Oryctolagus cuniculus: one gene and its partner. The protein of the gene in region 1 interacts with the protein of each later gene in a pairwise test. Links are inferred from orthologs where the notes say so. Each region holds a gene or a part of one and is shown in the gene's direction. Other genes may lie near its edges.

Region 1 (2,831 bases):
CCTGTGCCCAAAGGGAAGTGACCGGGAGATGCTGCCTGGGGCTAGGAGGTAGCGCTTTGCCCCAGCCTGGCCCTCCAAGAGTCTCCTCTCTGGCCCTCACCCCGCTCACAGCGACCAGGTGTCTCCCAGTTCCACGTTCTGTAAGGTGTACACCATCACCCCGCTGCTTAGTGACAACCGGGAGAAACGTGGCCTCGCCCTGGACGGGAAGCTCAAGCATGAGGACACCAACCTGGCCTCCAGCACCATGTGAGTGCAGGACGCGGGAGGGGCGCCCCCTGCAGGCCAGGACGGTGACCAGCCGGGTCTCTGCTGTTCTAGGCGGAGGCTTCCTGACAAGCATGAACAGCCAGGCAGAGGGAGATAGAAAGCGTGGAGGGGCAGGGTGTGATCATTTGGGCTAGGAAGGCCTCCTAACAGGTAACTTTTGAATAAAGACCAGAGGCAGCAGGGGAGGAAAAGTGCAGGCCCAGACTTGGAAGCAGAACTGGGCAGGTGTATCAGCCACTGCGAGGCACCCTGGCACCACTGGGCGGGGGCAGCCTGGAGTCCCCAGCATCACCACGGGCTGGAGCTCAGCCCCACTGGCGCCTTTGCACACACAGCAAGCTGGCGGGCCAGCAGGGTTCGAAGGAGCTGCAAGGAGAGGAGGAGGAGGAGGGGCTGATGGAGAGCGAGACTGTGCCGGGCTGTTAGGTCCGACGGACTCTGTCTCTGACAGAGAGAGCAAGCCACAGGAGGGCTCGCGCAGGTGGATGCTGGGTGTGGTCTGGCCTGTGGATGTTGCGAGTTTGTAGTCCTGCCCAGATCCTGGAGGCATCCTAAGGTGGGGCCAGGAGATGGGGCAACGGGCCGTGACCCAAGTCTCGGGTCCCCAATTGCAGTGTGAAGGAGGGTGCCAACAAGGAGGTGCTGGGGATCCTGGTGTCCTACAGGGTCAAGGTGAAGCTGGTGGTGTCTCGAGGCGGGTGAGTGGCGGGGGAGCCCTGGGAGGGGCAGGGACGGCGTGCTGTGGCTCTGTGGCATCGGCATCGCTGTCATCGTTTTCACTGTCATGGTCCCCCCCACCCCCTGGCAGGGATGTCTCTGTGGAGCTGCCTTTTGTCCTGATGCACCCCAAGCCCCCCGACCACATCACCCTGCCCAGACCCCAGTCAGGTGAGCACACCATGTACCCCAAGCCTCCAGAAGGAGGGCCAGTGGGGAAAATGGGTCCTGCCAGCACCCACTCACCTCCCCGTCTCCCCCTTGCCTCAGTGGTTCCCGAAACAGATGTCCCTGTGGATACCAACCTCATCGAATTTGATACCAAGTAAGAAACTCATCCCCACCCCCTTTCACACTGACCCCCTCTAGACAGCTAACCTAGGATGGCCATCTCCCACTGCAGAGAGTAGGATTGGAAGTGGAGCAGCCGGGACACAAACCAGTGCCCATTTAGGATGCCAACATCACAAGCGGCAGCTTTACTTGCTATGCTACCATGCTGGCCCCTAATATAGTATTTTATTAAAATCTCATTTATTTGGGACCGGCACTGTGACACAGCAGGTTAAGCTGTTGACAACAATGCCAGCAACCCAGATGAGCTCTGGTTCAAGTTTTTTTCATGTTTTGGCGGGAGGGAGTCTGAAGCATCATGCTAAGATGACTGAGCCTTGTGCGGCTGCCTCTCACTGCCCTCCTTGTCCCTTCCTGCGAACCCCGCTGGTCCCATGGGTCCCATGCCTGTTCTAAAACTGCCCTGTGCTGAGGGCAGTGTCGTGGCCTCACTCCGTGTCCCCCTCTCTCCCGCCAAGCTATGCCACTGATGACGACATCGTGTTTGAGGACTTTGCCAGGCTTCGGCTGAAAGGGATGAAGGATGATGACTACGATGACCAGTTCTGCTAGGAAGAAGGGCTGGACCAAGACCCCCACTGTCGCGGGGGCAGGGTGGCCCGGCCTCTCTTCCCTTCCCCTCCATCCAGCATTCCTCAACCATCCCCAACCCCCTCTCCCTATCCCCCCACCCAAGATACGCACTGGACCCATCTCCTGTTCAAAGTGGGCATTAATTTTTCACAGCTCTGCTTCCCCAGCCCTCCACGGGTAGCAGGCTGAGTTCATCCCTACATCTTTCAGAGGGAGGGCACTGAACAGAGAAGTGATAGGAGGGGAAGGGGGAGAAAGAACTCCCGCACTCGGCCTCACACCAACACGCCCCTCCCCTCCCGTCACTCTGCCTCCCGTGCCTCCAAAACAAGACCCTGGGGTGGGGGCAGGGGCTGGCGAGGCTGTCGCTTTGTTTCTTGAGCATAAAGAAGCAAATAAACCTTTTAATAGGCACAAGTGTACATGTGTGTGTTTCTGCCTTGGATAAAGCGCGTCTGGCATGCTCATCTGGGCGCTTCCTGCACCCCCAGGGCACCCGACGCACGGCCTCTCAGTAAGTATTTAGTGAATGACTGTGCTGAGCCTGTGTTCCAAGGTAAACAATGAGACTCGATCTGGTCCGTCCAAACGCAAGTGTATTGCTTGGTAAAGCCACAAAGTAAACTTAGTCATTTTACAGGGGAAATAATAAGTAACTGCCCTGCCGACCAGGGGCTGCGAGAGCTGGGCAGGGCAGCCGACAATGCATGACCGTGTTCGCTTCCACTCCATCTGCTCGCTGGGCCAGCCCATTCCTGGGGCTTACTGGGACCACATCTGCAGGTCTCACCCAGCCAGAGGCCACGTGACCCCGCCGTGGAGTCTGGGACTTCCATTCTAGTACAGAAGCCAAGGCTTCAGGCAGCCGAGAGTAAGGCTGCCCTGGGCCCAAGTCCCAGGGACAGCAGCTCCTGTGA
Region 2 (4,245 bases), on another chromosome or scaffold:
CAGGGTAAACTTGCTAATTTCTGCCATAAAAAAAAGCTTACTAGGATTTTAATAGAGACTGTATTTAATTGAAGATAATTCAAGGATTAAGGTCATTTTAACTATAATAAATATTCTAATCCAGGAGCACAAAATATTCCATTTATTTATGTCTAACTTACTTCATTTCAACAATTAGGGGGTTAAGAGTACAAGTTTTACACCTTTTTTATTAAATTTCCTTAAGTATTTCATTCCTTTGATTTATAGTAAATGGAATTATTTTCTGTACTTCATTTTTTTTTTATTGTCTATTGCTACAGAAATACAGTTGAGCCCCTGCCACCCACATGATTGACTCCAATGGAGCTCCAGGTTCCTGGCTTTGCTTGGCCCTGCCCTGGCCCTTGTGGACATTTGAGGAATTAACCAATGGATGGAAGGGCTGTTTCTCTCTCTGTCTCACCCTCTCTCTGTCACTCTGCCTTTCAAATAAGTAAATAAATCTTTTTTAAAAATGCAAGTGATTTTTGTATATTGATCTTGTATTATGAAGCTTACTAAACTCATTGATTAGCTCTAATAGCTTTTTACTTAACGTGTTAGGGTTTTCGAAATAGAAGATCATGTCATCTACAAATAGAAATGGTTTTACAGCCTTTCTAATCTGATGTCATTATTTATTTGCTTGTTTGTTTGTTTATTTTTTACCCTTGATCAATTGCCCTGACTGGAACCTCTAGTACAAAGTTGAATAGAAGTGGGAGACCGAGCCTGCTTGTCTTGTCCCTGATCTTAGACAGTAAGCTTCAACAGTAAGTATAATGCTAGGGAGCTTTTCATAGACTTTACTGTTTGAAGAAGTTGCTTTCTACTCCTAGTTTTTTGAGTGTATTTATCATGAAAGAATGTTGGATTTTTCAAATGCTTTTAATTTATTAAGATGACCCAGTGAGCTTTGTCTTTTATTCTGTTGACATGGTTAAATACATTAATTGATTTTTGGTAAACTACTCATGCTTTCCTAGGATAAATCTCACTTGATGGTCATGTATGAATTACAAGATTTGATTTGCTAGCATTTTGTTGAGAATTGCTATTTATATTCATAACAGCCTGCAGTTTGTTTGTAGCGTCTTCATCTGGTGTTGGTACAGGCGTAATACTGATCTCATAGCATCAACTGGCAAGTGTTCCTTGCTCTTCTTTCCTTTCTTTTTTCTGAATAGCTTATGAAGACTTGATATTAAGTCTTCCTTCAATATTTTGTCATCTTTTGTTTTATTACTTTATTTATCTTCAAAATGTAACTCAGCAGTTCCAGCAGAGGAAACGAATGCCCACGCTTTCATTTTACAACCCTGCGTGTTAACTGTGATCCTTAACTCACACGGATACTGTCAAAGCTGGAGCCACTCACAGGAAACAGAAGTTCCTAACTCGCCCTTAAAAGTTTTCCAAGTTATAGAGAGACAGAGAGAGAGGGAGAACATTAGGCTCTGGGAATCGATGCTTCGCAATCCCGGGTTGCCTCCCTCTTCGCTGCCCCTCTCCAGGCAGGGCTCCGGGCCAGGTGAGCGCGAGTCTGATAGGCGACGAGGGACAACTGTGGCATCATCCCGGCTGCCGCCAGTTTCTGGAGAGGGAGGGGTTGGGCCTGGAGGGTCTCCCGGGGCGGGGCGGAGGAGGCGGGAATGCAAAACAGAGCCTCCTCCCTGGAACACAGCAACGCCCCTGGCTATAAATTGGGAGTCGCGTAGCCGCCGGAGATTCCAGCGCCTGACAGCCAAGACCCCGGGCAGCGGTGAGTGGCAGCAACGCCGGGAAGGGTGCTAGCAGCGGAGCCCGACCCGCGGCCGAGATCCATGGGGAGCGGCTGCCGCCGAGGCGGGTCGTGAGGGCGCGCAGCCCGCTGGCGGCCGGACCTGGTGAGTCCGCGGGGCCGCTCGACGGGCTTGGGGACCGCGAGGGCGGGCGTCGTGAGTTTCGTGTGCCGGGGACCCAGCCTCCGCGGTCAGCGGCCACCCTGGAGCTGGCCGCCCTTCTCCAAAGCAGGTGATGGGCTTCTGGGATGGGAGGAAACAGCCCCAAAAATTTCACTCCGTTTTGCTCCAACTCCCTCGGGGCACAGGCGAGAAATGTGCAGACGTGGGATGCAGTCTAGCCAACTTTCCATGGCGGCTTTCTGTTAACTCGCGTCTTTTAACGTGATCTGAGTGGCAAGCCCCTATACCTCCGTGGGGTGTCCCTTTCCGGGCTGGGGGACGTCGTCCCCGCCCCCAGACCCCGGGAAATCATTTGGTCTGTCTGGCCCTGCCAAGGCAACTGCAGGTGGAACTCGAAACGCAATACATCTTAGAGCAGGCTACTTTTTAAGTTGATAATTTTGCATGGCCCTTGAATGATTTTATACTTATCTCAATGACCCGTGGCAAAAAAAGAAAATAATAATAATAAATAAAAGAGTTGTGCTACTTTTGAGATGAAGTGAAGAGTGTCCCCAGCCGCCTCATCTGCTTTGGGGGAACAGTCCCCGCATCACTCACGGCCCCTTCTTCCTCTCTCCCTGCACACCGGGGGAGTCCATGGCACAGGACACAGCTCCCGCCCGCCCTTGCGTATTACCATGGTGTCCTCTGTTACATCCAGCCCGGGAGGGGAAAAAAGCAAGGCGCCTCGCAGCCCAGTCCTTGTAGCCTGGGCCTGTGCACATTTGTAACGGAGGCAAGGTTTTGGGCAAAGGTCTTTTGCTTTCAAGACTGGCCAGAGCCCCGTGTTTGCCAGTTCTCTTAAATGTCTCCTGTATGGGCCTCCCCTGGTCTCCAGGAGAACTCAACAGATCTCCCCACAAATGCCTCTCCTGCCCAGTTTGTCCTGGGGCAATGGTTAGAGACAGTGGAGCGCGTGGAAGGCTCTTTCTTTGCCTACTGTCTGCTGATGGCCTCTTTCAGCATCACAGCCCCACTGCTGCCATTTCTTCCCAGTGAGAGTGAATGCTCACTCTCTTTTGGATCACATTTGGGGCTTGGCTGTGTTTATTTCCTGTGTCATTCTGGGAAGAGAAAGTTAACAGGGAGGCAAAGCTCACAGCCTCCTCTTGTGTTTGCTAACTTTTGTTGAGCAACTGTTGTCTCCCGAAGGTACTTCATGCCCAACATTTGTCACCACCTGAGCGTCGTGGGCCCCCAAATGTTTATTCCCCTTAGCATAAGCTTTCACACCTTGAGAATCAAGAAGGAAGGAGGGAAGGAAGGAAGGAAGGAAGGAAGGAAGGAAGGAAGGAAGGAAGGAAGGAAGGAAGGAAGGAAGGAAGGAAGGAAAGAAGGAAAACAAACCTGGTCAAGGCTCCTGTCTCTTTTCATGGTCCCCTAGCTTTATGTGTGGATAATCTCTCCTCGGGCTATGATGGTTTCCCAGCACCCTTCTCTTCTTCCCCACAACACCCTTCCTGACAGCAGTTCATGGGCACAGAAGCAATGGGAGAAGGGAATGGAGACTTCCATGTAACAAGCTGTGTGATATTAGAGGTGTTACTTAGCAACTCTAAACCTAAGATTTCTGCCCCCACAAGGTCCCCTCCAGGGATATTCTTGGATTCCTTTTGTTTCCTGGTTATATTTTTAAAAATAAAAGTCTAATATAATTATCCTGTTAGCTTATGCTTTAAGTCTTCAAAACGTTCAAACTATCCTGCTAAATGATCTGCCCAGGACAAACATGGAGCTTTCCCATGATGGCGTCAGGTGTCCACCCCCCAGATCATAGCTGATAGTTTCTGTAACCTGATTCAAGGCCCCCGGAGTAGCCCCAAGTTTAAAGGTCTCAACATCTGTTCAACTTTCATAATGATTAGTTCCAAGTCTCTTATGTCCTCTGTCTTCCCCATTTGTTCCTGAATTCATTGTTCTTTGTTCTCATCATGAGGCCTTAATTTCTGGTTCTGCTTTCTTTACTCTTAAACTGAATATCCATCTCAGGAAAAAAAAAAAAAAACTGCTTTTCTGCCACTGGTACCACTGATGTTGCTGGAAAACTAGTCTTTCCTGAGATTTACAAACATCTTTCAGTCCCTGTTGCTGCAGCAGCACTCCTGGGCTTAAATCTTTCCCCTCTCTCTTTTCCTAGGCAGTATTCCAAAAAAGTCCATTTTGTGGATTGCTCAGATTTTGTGTTTTTTGTTTTTCTTCCTTCTTGTTTGGTTTCAGAATTGTGGGGAGAGGGGTGTAATTTGGTTTGGTTTGGTTTTGCTACTGCTATTACTTTCTA

The links. The genes of interacting proteins can lie anywhere in the genome.
Region 2: the proteins of ARRB2 (region 1) and AGTR1 interact in a two-hybrid assay, tested with the Homo sapiens proteins (2 studies listed by BioGRID and IntAct, with this or other methods). The link is inferred for Oryctolagus cuniculus from reciprocal best matches to the Homo sapiens genes ARRB2 and AGTR1.

Annotation. Positions count from the first base shown.
Region 1 is NC_091448.1:51,498,804-51,501,634, reverse strand, and holds the end of ARRB2 (beta-arrestin-2), read left to right. Parts: intron 1-111; coding exon 112-249; intron 250-884; coding exon 885-968; intron 969-1,078; coding exon 1,079-1,158; intron 1,159-1,257; coding exon 1,258-1,312; intron 1,313-1,799; coding exon 1,800-1,893; 3' UTR 1,894-2,331; downstream 2,332-2,831. UniProt on the Homo sapiens protein: Functions in regulating agonist-mediated G-protein coupled receptor (GPCR) signaling by mediating both receptor desensitization and resensitization processes.
Region 2 is NC_091435.1:132,774,669-132,778,913, reverse strand, and holds the start of AGTR1 (type-1 angiotensin II receptor), read left to right. Parts: upstream 1-1,445; 5' UTR 1,446-1,907; intron 1,908-4,245. UniProt on the Homo sapiens protein: Receptor for angiotensin II, a vasoconstricting peptide, which acts as a key regulator of blood pressure and sodium retention by the kidney.